2 linked regions of the Daphnia pulex genome follow. The protein of the gene in region 1 binds, or shares a complex with, the protein of each later gene. Links are inferred from orthologs where the notes say so. Each region holds a gene or a part of one and is shown on either strand. Other genes may lie near its edges.

Region 1 (5,324 bases):
AACAGCTTTATAAAACTGAAGCTGAAATGGAAGCCAGTATTGTTTATGTATTAAAAAATATCCAGGCCCACAGAGATCAGATACAACTTCAGGATCTAGTAAAAGCAGAAGAAAATCAATGTCATTGCCTACTGGCCCTCAAGTTAGAAGAATTCAAGAATCTTAGAAAAGAAGATATTTTGAGTAAATCATTATCACAAGTTGAAATGTTATAACTTGTAAAAATCCGGTCACTTCTTGAACAGATGCTATGAAAACCCAGCTTGAACAAGACATATCCAGTCAGAAAACAATGTTGAATAAAACCCTATTCAATGTGGTGCAAATGGAGTAAGCCTAAGCATTATTATCGAACACAATTTTGTTGGTATTAAAAGATTTTTATGGTTAATTTTTAGGGATGAAGTAAAAAATCGTCAGATTGACCAAATTTTGCAGCATCGGCAAAAAGACCAAGCTGCTCTAGTCATGTCGTTATTAGAAGAAGAATCTTGGCAGTACCAAGCGTTTTCGTCATTGTTATCCCAGCGTGATCGGCGGACCACCCAGCTTAGCGAAGATATTCGAGCCGTAGTAGATAAACTTAATCAGCTTACCGCTTGGGAATTACAGCGCAAAAGCAGGCAAATCGATATTACTAACGTGAGTGCAAAGTCTGAAATACGTATGACTTTAATTTGGTCATTTATTAATTCCTTTTTTTTTTCTTATCGATCCTAGAACTTGCTCTCGGAAAATCGTATACAACTGGCTGACTTGCTTTCCCAGTTAATAGAGCAACAGCAGCTGCGTCGTAAAGATCTAAAACACCTCTTGGAAGAAATGGAAGTCCAGCGACAGAACCAAGCGGCCGACTATTGGCTTGTCCAGTATCAGCGTCTAATCGATAACATGCCTGATAATATTCAACATGCACAACAGTATCTTCCAAGTGCGCCTTCCTCTGTACTCGATGATGAGGAGGTGGCATCCGCTCCTCCGATGGAAGTTTTTATGGAAACTAATTGCGTCATATGCTTGGACAGTTCAGTAAGCTTACATTTATTACAGTTCAATTTTTCAAAACGAATTCATTCTAATTGCATTTATATTAAACAGTGCCAAGTTATATTCCTTTCTTGTGGACACTTATGTTGTTGTTCTGGATGTGGCAACAAGCTAAATCAATGCCCAATGTGCCGGGCAACCATCGTTAAACGACTGCAGGTTCACTCATAATGTTATTTATTTGCTTTTTAGCTTTTCATCGGTCATATCTTTGTGCCTTTGGCATCCTAAAAAAAATGTTTTCTTCATTTTTATCTTGTCTGTTGCTACTGTCGTTTCGAGACGTAAATCACACTTTAATTTTCACAGTATACAAACTATTTGAGGTCGTGTTTTTTTTTCTTTTATTAATTTTTTTGTCGTGCGAATACAAATTTTATCACACATTTTTTTGTCATTTAAGATCATTCATCCACTTCTTCATCCTCATTCTCCTTTTCATTTTCATTATCATTTTCATTGTCATTTTCATTATCATTTCCATTATCATTTTCTCCACCTTCATCTGATCCTTCTTCAATATCTTCCGGTTTTTTGTCGGATTTTTCCTGTTTCCGTTTAGCCATAGCTTCTTTGCGTTCCTTCTGTGCTTTCTTGTACACTGTAAAAGAAAAGAACATGTTGACATTCTAAAAATTGTTTTGAAAAAGAGAAATTACCTTCAAGAGAAGCCTGTAGTGGTTCAATAAATCTTTCAAATTCCATGTCAGCCATTGCTCCCAGGACATCCGGGCCACTGATGATCTTTATTTAACAAAAAAATTTTAGTAAATAATTGAGAGAATGGAACAAAATTTTCTGATTCTGTGATTCACCTTTCTGTTAGCTTTCATAGCCAGATTGTTAGAGCATGATGTGCAATAGAGAACAAATACAGAAGCAGCTTTAGCAATGGCGGTTCTAGCCTCTTTAGACACATTAACACCTTCTGGCAAGGATTCTTTTATGATTCTTGCTACTATTGAGTTGGGAAGGTTTAAGTCTTCAGGTCGTTCTGCCATTGCTTACGTACCTGGGAAAATCAAAACAAAATTCCTGTCATCAGCTAGATACATTAGTTGAACAAAACATATATTTCATCATATGAATTCTATTCAAATCAATAAAGAGAGAAAATGTCACTTATTATTTCAAATAATAACACCATTTAGTCATTTCCAAGAGATTTCTAGAAACTTTTTAAAAAATTAACTACACTTGTTACAAGATTTTCATAGGAAAAAGAAAACATCCTACCTGTCAAAACTTCTCCTACAATAATTTATTTCCGATTATACCGAAACCAACACTCCGACACTTGAAAACTTCAGATTTTTGCTGAAACAAATACACAGTCACAGTTGATGATTTCGATGTTGCTTCTGCTACAATAAAGGGCGGGAAAATAAGAAGTGCCAAGACCACATCGCCATCTGTGAGTAATATTCTAACCGTTTGCACAAATAAGTTTTTCGCCCCCGTTAGACCAGCAGTCGCGAGTCGCATAATAAAGAGGCGTATGATAAAGATAAATAATAATTTTTTTTATGTAGCACGAAGAAGATAAGCAGATCTTAATATATGAACAGACAAGATATAGGTTAAATATCAAACTAGTGAAATATCAATTTTATTACACCAATATTTAGTATTTACAGTACATTGTTGCTTCAGCAGCTTAGATTGGTTATTCTAACTTGAACCGATTTTGTTTTACTAGTATTATTTATTGTATCTTGAACAACACTTGGATGTTAAAACAAATCGACATGAAAATTTTAACAATCGTGATCACTTCTGTTCTTATTAGATTCAATAACGATTTTGACGGAATGGATGGAGATCACCAAATATGACGTACGCAAAAGACGGCAAAAGATCGTTAGACTTGTCGTTAGATAGTGTCAAGAGCGGCATGTGTAATAGGATAACAAACTTTCCTCCTTTTCGCCAAGCCACTCTACATCTCCGAGTCAAAGGGACCCAAACTTCCTTTAGCAGCCAAAAGTTAGATTTCCATCGATGCTAATCTTACAAGGGAATGACTGTTGTGTGTACCTGAAAACTTTTGAATGGATAATCGCTTGCTATACACCCGTATATAGCCTATAGGGAATAATAGATTGCCAAACGCCGAAATTACGAGAAGTTAGATTATTGATTTGCGACTCTAACTTTCACTTATAAAATTCGTTTCTCGGAAACCTCCTACCATCCCCAGTCGCCTACAAATCAGGTCATGGAATTCAAGACAAGTTTGATCCAAAGATATATTTTCAAATCCTACACAAAGTGTGAGAGTCGGGAATCAGAGAAAAGGCAGGATATGCCCCGGGATACTACTCATCCACTCCGACTCCAGGCAACGGATACAAAACTGATATACGCTGTGTCGCTGTCTACCATTGGCCCCTTCAGACCTACATCCGCCCACATCGGAAACTGTAAATCAGACGTGGATGGAAAAACAAAAAGTTGAAGAAATAAGTCTGACGCTCTTTTGAATGAGACGGATAAATGAACAAGTTTTGCTTACTCCCAAGTTTCTCTATAAATAAATAACAACAATTTAAGAAACAAATCTCTACTAAAATAATGGTTCATCTTTTTTTTTAAATAGACTAGGTAATCAAACTGTCTTTAATCATCGTTAATTTCATATATAATTTTTCCGATCTCAAAATTTTTCAAAGACATCAATCGCATCATTTTTTATCCTGTATATTTTTATCCGCGTGGGCGTACACCAGCAATCATCCCATCAGGATTTAACACGGGAGTTTTGTTTTTTGTTTTTTAATTTCTCATCCTTGACACGCGTGACAGACTTTCTTGTCAAAAAGTTTGACATGCGCTTTCCCGTTAACACATTTTGTTAGAGATCGGCCGTGTGAACTGTCTGTGAGCACTTGGCGACGAATAAGATAATCAATTGCTTCGCGCCTTGTTAGTTTATTTCCCCCGCATGTTTTTCGCTTTCATGTTTTATTTTCGAAAAGTGGAATGGATGGGATCCGGATCCCGCAGGAATTAGCAATAAGAGCGGGTGATTACGTCTGCAATACAAACCAAGCGAAAAGTCGAAATTGGTCGAAATTGGTTGTGTGCTGTATACGCGTATATATATTTAGCCATGCCTTGTTTGTAGACGCTAGACGGGATCTATAACGACGCGGAGTTATCGGGAGTTATGATTTCGATCTGCTTACTTATTATGTAAGTATCTCTTTCAGCTGCTGCTGCTGCGCGGTCCTCGAAAGGTATATGGAGCTCTTGCTCTCCCGTCACCACACCCCACTACATACATCCTCCCTCTCTCTGTCTGCCGCCCATATATCCTTTCACGTCTGGTATAGTAGTATGGTACATGCTCTCTCGCTCTGCTGGTTCATGAGAGCTGCTGTTGGTGTGCCTCGGATGCTGTGTGCACGCGATATCCAGCTAGCTACAGCACACAGCCAGCAAAGAGGAGCAGCCAGTGAGTGCCTTTAGGGGGTGGAGCAGCCAGGTTTCCTCCAACCTTTGATGAACTGGAAGTCAGTTCAGTCATCAGAGCACCGTCGCTGCGGGACGTGTGCGTAACGGGCGTGTAGGAAATCAAAAGATCCTGTTAGACTCATTTCATTTCTTACATAGGATAGCGTGCGTGAATGTATATTACTATCGCTCTGTGCTCTTGTAACATACATAACCAGATAGACTCATTTCTTCTAGCTACACTCTATTTTACTTTTTCCCCCTTTTTCATCACGGAGAATATTCTATCGTTCCTCGACGTTATAACTGCACACAAAGGTACTATACTACTACAATATTATACACCGGCCGGGCCAGCAGCATCAGCACAGACGGATAGACTCCGCGCGCGCGCGCGCTCGCTAGCCTTGCTGCCTACCAGTGGCTGCCCCGTTGTAAAAATTTGACGTTTTTTCGTACGTGAGAAACTGTGAATGTCTAATCGGCGAAGCGCTTTTTTCGAAAGAAAACCCTCTGACTTTGCTGACGAGTGCGACGGGATATACGTTGGTGGTGAAAATCGGGGGGAAATTCACACCTTAAAATGATTTCGCTCAACACATTAGCCACGTCTCTGGAGATTGGCGGCGATCTTCCGGCATTGCCACCGCGTTTCCGTTTCCGCGATCTGGGAGGACTGCTCCTGGGCGGAGGCGACTTTTTCAATGACGACGGCGAAAGGTAAGTGCTGTCACACTTATATACATGCCGCATGCATTTATTCGAAGCTTCTTTCTCTTTTATTTGATCGACTTGTTGTCCTGTAATATGCGTTGAGTGTT
Region 2 (6,110 bases), on another chromosome or scaffold:
GATAATTTCATGGGTAAAGATCGCGCCGAAGCAATCTATCGTTCGGTCGTATCCATGTATAGTTCTGGGGTCTTTGTGGAAGGTGAAACAGTAAGCTCTAGTCTTGATACCTCGAAAAAGGTCCGTAGTGATAAAATTACTTGGGTTGATGGATCAGAAAATAATTGTGTCAATATCGCACACCTGATATCTACAGTTGACACAATCATCATGAATTCGATCCGAATGAAAGGAAATGGTCAGCTGGGGCAGCGGACAATTGGAGGAAGAACGAAGGTAAGCGAGTCACTTGCTACTTTTTGAGTAAAATTTCATCCGGGTCTACAAGCTTATTGTTTGCATTAGTTTTTTCGTTGACAAGTAGATGTTTCTTTTCAGCTAGTCCTTGGTCGCTGCTGTAAAAGTTAACACAGAATGTAAATTCAATTTAAAATTATGTAATTAATCAACGTACAGGCGATGATTGCGTGTTATCCAGGCAGTGGCGCTCACTACGTGAAACACGTCGACAATCCTAACCGTGATGGTCGATGTATTACTACAACTTACTATTGCAACAAGGATTGGGACGCGAAGGTAATACATTTTTTGACGTTGCAATTGAGAACAGCAATTTTTATTTTTAAATAATTGTTTTGCAGACTACTGGTGGTTTGCTGCGAATTTTCCCCCAAGGTTGGGCTAACCAAGTAGTGGACATAGAACCAATCCTTGATCGGATGGTTTTCTTCTGGTCAGACCGTCGCAATCCTCACGAAGTCCAACCAGCCTTTCGAACCCGATATGCCATAACTGTCTGGTATTTTGATGCAAAAGAAAGAGAAGAAGCCAGAATACGATTTAATCGGGAATGTAAGTTATCCATATCATCCACCGTTTCCCAGTGATTCATGTTGCATTACTTTTAAGGCGCTGTAAGAAAAAATGAAACCAAGTGAATGAATGAAATTGCTTGCAATGATTTGCCGCCTTGATCAAGAGTATATACGTCAACATAAACGATGAAATCTGGTTTAACGTCATGTTAAATGGATTCTCCTTGTCACTATACGGAGGTGCGAGGCTCGTGTACAGCCATTTTCCCCCCTTACATATTAAGCCCTTGTTTTTAAACTTAATAAAAAAAAATCTAGAATTATTCGTTTTGGTCGTCAATTACATTGTAAAGGTGAATTATTTACTTGGTTCCAATATTACAATCATCAGTTGAATTTCTTTGCAGTCCTACATAAACCTCATTATTACTATGGCTGTATGTTTACAATTTTGCTTACTTTAAATTTATTATGATGATTTGTTTGAATAAAGGAAGAGTGTGGTAAAAGTAAATAAATTATCGGGAGACGTAAGTAAAAGATATCCTTCTATTTTTATTTGAAAAAATCCGTAGCATTTGAATTTCAGGCAATGCATATTTATTTAAGTATCACCGATTTCACTGTCTTCCACTTGGGACCGTATTGGGATGTACACTTTGAAATTGAAGTTGTTGCGGGAAAATGGTCCCTATTAATATTACAGTTAGCTATCTATAGAATATCCATAATACTTTGAATTTTCCTAAACCAAATATCTTACTGGGTTAAAAATGACGCAATCCATATTTTGAGCTGTGAAACCACCAAGACGATCACCAACAACCACCACATCAGGTAAGGGATACAGATACAGTGCATGATCGTATGGCCAATAGACAGGGCAGATCTCCCCAGGAAGAGGACACAAGTGTCCCTGCGATGTCAACGTTTTCGCAAACTAGAAAAACAGGAAAATTTAGTAACTTGTAGTTTAAACTAGCAAAAACCTTGTCATACCTGTTGGGGAATATCATCAGAAGGGAAATTAATAGCATTGCGACACATTTTAGTCAAAATATCTTCGCGCAGAACTACAATTTCTTTTGTTCCATATTGAATTCGACAAGGATTGGTAGTAAATATACCACTTGGAATTCTTTGCACAAATTCTGCCCGGATCACTTCCGCAAGAGGAGGCCTAAAAGAAAAGTTAAAATTACTTCGAAACCGAAAAATAACAAGTAAATATCTTCAGCAACAGTAAATGAAAAAATCTGAAAATACAAATAACTACAATTTAAAATAAATTTTAACCTGGGCAATATATTACAAAATCCTGAATCAGATGGCCCCGGAACAAAAATAAAGCGCGTTTGCTCAACGAGATTAGGAAATTCTTTTATCATTTCAGCGAGCGATTTAAATAACTGGCGCAAGTGACCAGAAGAAGTGTTGCACGTAGTGCCCGATAGAAAATTGCCCATTAACACAAAGCATATTGGTGGATCTTCACAGTACCCAGCGAAAAGTATTCGTAACTTCTCCATAACCTATTTAAACAAAAAACTGTTGTCATTTTTAAAGTTAATTAGACTTGTCTAAAATTATATACTCTAGTTTGATCCAGCCACACATCAGAAAGAAAAACCATCATAGCATCCGGATTTTGTTCTTCTATCGCTTTTAGTTTGACAGAAACTTTTAAAGTTGATGTACTTGAACCACCAAAAAAGTTTGTGTTTCCAAAATAAGTTCTGTAATGTTGAATTAATGAATATTAATACTGTGAGGATTTTTACTTTAAACTGCACGTACCTAGTGATTTTAGCTGGTTCAGGTGGAGGCATCCCCAAATGTTCAATGTGAAATACTCCATCTTGGAAATAGCCTTGTCCCAGAACAAAGCAGTTTTCAGTAAAGAGTCCACCATGGAAATTCTAAAGAATAGAGGATTTCATATTTCAATTGGAAAAACATTTTTTTGTGAATATCAAATATGCATTCACAGAAAAAAATAAATAACAATAGTTACAGTATCTTTCAATGAGATAGGCACAGATCCAGTCATGTCTTCTAAATGCAGTTTGCCCTCTGTTAAATAAGTTAACATTCCAAGTACCACAAGATTGGTAAGTTTAGTTGACATTCCCAGCAAATATTCAATTGGTTGCAGTTGATATTTATTTTGAGAAGCAGTTGAACCTGACCCTAACACAGATGGAGTGAAAAGACTATGACGAGAAGTCCTGGAATGACAAAGAGTTTGTGACTATTATTAAGTGGATGGTTTCAATATAATTAATTACAACCTTTGATGGAGAATGGCATATCGATGGCGAAACATTTCAGACTTATCTCTTGGATCACCAAACAAGTTTATGGAATGAGGTGCATCAAAAGAAAGGTACTTCTTTCTTTCAGTGTTGTAGACAAATTTGGGAACATCAAAAGCAGATATTACATTTAATAAAACTGTTGTTTCATCAAACTCATTTTGGCAACACTCCTGTTGGATTAAATAAAAATAAGCAAAACAAATATTTATTTAAAATCAAGAGATTATACCTTAGCAGCTCTTTCAACATGAGATTTTTCAACAGTTGTGCTGTTCAACAGACCTTGTTTTTGTATCACATCAATCAACTTCTCAAGCCATTGAACTTGCTCATCTTTGTGTAAGGGTGTAAGCAAACCAATAATATATTTGGTAGCTTCCCTGAAATAACACAAAACAAAATGGTAAACTGTAAGCTAAATAACTGAAATAGAAGTTTAATAAAAATTGCAGATTTAACACTGTTTTGTTTACTTTTAAGCTAGCTAAGCTGTTCTTTTTGCTTTTCTATTTCAGAACTACTAACTGATTGAGCCTTTTAGGTTAATCTTTTCAAATATGTAGCATCAGTAACAGTAATTCGTATTCTTAACAACAAACTAAAAAATAACATTTACTCACGATCTAACTGTCAGGCCGTTCAGTTTGAAGGTCATAACTATATCGTTTTTAAATCGACTATTCATTTTCAGAACTGAGAAATAGAATGGCCAGTTCAAAGGGACAGCAAAGATCAATTAATATAACTTCTGTAATATTTTGATCTATTCATGTTTTATTGTTTTACCGTTCTACGTACCTAGTAATTTCACCGTGTCCGGTGTTAATCGTCACAGTTGATATGTTTCCCGCCGAATCTGTTTTGTTCTGCTTTGCCAGAAGTCAAGAACAACCCCATAAATAAAGGCCGCGCCTATTGGAATCAGGACTAGTTAAAGCGTCAAATTGAGTCCGATGTCCAGACCCATCTAGTGACAAAGTTCAAATAATCGTTCTGTTGCTCGAAAACCGGACCTTGGCTGTTAAATAAGATGCAAACCGGAATTTAAATGAAGTTGCCGTGTACCGGCTGGTATGGGTTGTCGTCTTTGCTTTCATACGGCAAATCTATAATTCTTTCCCCTATTAAACCTACCAATTCACACGTTTTTATCAAGAAATCAACCATGTTATTCGTATAGAAGAAGTGACTGACGCGTACCCCCTCTGTTTTGTGAAAAAAAAAGTGTGTTCACAAAACAGGGAGGGGGGGATTCGCGACAGTCACTTCCTCTATTAATTGATTAAACATAATTGAATCGATGACATACTTATCAATCATGAACTAAACATTTATAAATCGATAAAATTCATATCAAACAAGAATCAAACCAATTTAACGAAAATACACGAGGAAAAGAACCACAAACGTGACGACGGGAAAAATTAATAAATAATTCTACCAATTCCATTTTTAAATTTAAAATTTAATCTCGAATTTTAGCTGTTAAAAAAGCAGCCACCTTGATAAATTGTTCATTCACTCGCCCCCTTATAGCTAGGGAACGGGAGCGCTATCACTATCATCTTGGAAGAAGTGGGGATGTTCTAGCTCGGCTCCTACTACTATTGAAAATGTAATGAAACGTACTACGAACGGAGGATATGGGCGCACGATACGCTAAATTTGGCAATTCATTTCATAATATTATTTACGAAAAACGAAACCGCTAAAGTAAATAATTTACGCTACTTAACGCGCATCACACTAAATTTAATTAAGGGGCGCGACAAGAAAAAACGATTGCTGTGACTGGTCGGACGACTAGCGCTCGCCAGTCCGTTATTTAGCGCTTATCGCGGATACGTCCACTATTTAAGCGTCGCCCGTCCGCTGTTTTAGGCGGCTCGCAACACGAAAAATAATTAAGTCAAATATTTCGCGTTTGATCTAGCTCCATGTTTGCACGCATATCACTAATGATTTATTTGCGATTAACTTTCGTGTACACACGAAAGTATCATAATGCGATAAATTAAATGTAAAAGAAATTGTGAAATTGAGAAAAATTGCAAAAAAAGTCTGCCAACTTGCCCCACCTACGGGTAAGTTGGCAGCTGACGATTCTCCATTGCTCCAAAATTTCTAGGTCGAATTTTGAAAACTTGCAACTCAGCATCTCGTGAGAAATCTGTATGCCAACATGCCCCTCAAAATTACTGACAACTAACCCCACAGGGTGCTTTTCGAACAAATAAATTGATAACGAAATAACTTTTTAATGTAGAAATGTCGGGTTTCTTTTAAAAATAAGACAAACATTAATTATTTTTTGCTTGGGTTTTCTGGCACTCTTAGAGTTTTATACTATTAGAAAAATAAAAAGTGCTGAGAGGCAAAAAAAAAACTTTTTGCCGTTTTTTTCTTTCTTTTTGCTATAACTCCTGTTGGGGAAGTCTTATACTTTTGAAATGTTGTAGGAGCAATCTGGGTGTTGTCTTTCATATTTGGTGTAAAAGGCTTGATTTGTTTTGGTCTGTAAGGGGTCTAAATAGCAAAATGCCAACTTACCCCACCTGCGTACTAGCCCCCTCTCCCCTACTCTCCGAAAGTAGCAGATTTTTGCTTTCGATTTTTGAACAATGAAGCTTTTATGCACTTTAAAGTTCAATTACTATACTTCGAAATGATTTTTTATTAAAATAAATAGAACCAAACGAAAGCTAGTGAAAAATTGGTTAAAAACTTGTATATTTCTTATAAAATGAAATGATAGGGACAAAAAATAAACAAATTAAAAAAACACCGGTAAAAATCCTCTATGGCAAAATGAAAAAAAAAACGATTTTTATTTTGCGATATCTCGCAATTTGGTCCAAAAACACTGAATTTTTGGAAATAAGTGTTTCATAAAGATATGAATCCACTATTCAAATAAAAAAAAACAAACAAATTGGTGACTTACCCACGCCCATGATCTGACGGATCGGCGTGGATT

Evidence for each region. The genes of interacting proteins can lie anywhere in the genome.
Region 2: DNA polymerase epsilon subunit 3-like (region 1) and DNA polymerase epsilon subunit 2-like share a complex: the UniProt entries of both Homo sapiens proteins name them as parts of the DNA polymerase epsilon complex. The link is inferred for Daphnia pulex from reciprocal best matches to the Homo sapiens genes POLE3 and POLE2.

Annotation. Positions count from the first base shown.
Region 1 is NC_060025.1:6,578,889-6,584,212, forward strand, and holds DNA polymerase epsilon subunit 3-like, read right to left. Parts: upstream 2,432-5,324; 5' UTR 2,284-2,431; intron 2,083-2,283; exon of another isoform or gene 2,060-2,082; 5' UTR 2,049-2,059; coding exon 1,863-2,048; intron 1,792-1,862; coding exon 1,707-1,791; intron 1,649-1,706; coding exon 1,452-1,648; 3' UTR 1,375-1,451; downstream 1-1,374. Other genes in the region: E3 ubiquitin-protein ligase LRSAM1-like, read left to right, coding at 1-183, 246-330, 399-642, 721-1,029, 1,099-1,218. UniProt on the Homo sapiens protein: Accessory component of the DNA polymerase epsilon complex. Participates in DNA repair and in chromosomal DNA replication.
Region 2 is NC_060027.1:5,847,097-5,853,206, forward strand, and holds DNA polymerase epsilon subunit 2-like, read right to left. Parts: upstream 4,064-6,110; 5' UTR 3,932-4,063; intron 3,827-3,931; 5' UTR 3,819-3,826; coding exon 3,754-3,818; intron 3,514-3,753; coding exon 3,363-3,513; intron 3,304-3,362; coding exon 3,107-3,303; intron 3,044-3,106; coding exon 2,830-3,043; intron 2,735-2,829; coding exon 2,613-2,734; intron 2,552-2,612; coding exon 2,410-2,551; intron 2,348-2,409; coding exon 2,112-2,347; intron 1,996-2,111; coding exon 1,815-1,995; intron 1,756-1,814; coding exon 1,579-1,755; intron 1,507-1,578; coding exon 1,420-1,506; 3' UTR 1,351-1,419; downstream 1-1,350. Other genes in the region: egl nine homolog 1-like, read left to right, coding at 1-276, 457-576, 642-887. UniProt on the Homo sapiens protein: Accessory component of the DNA polymerase epsilon complex. Participates in DNA repair and in chromosomal DNA replication.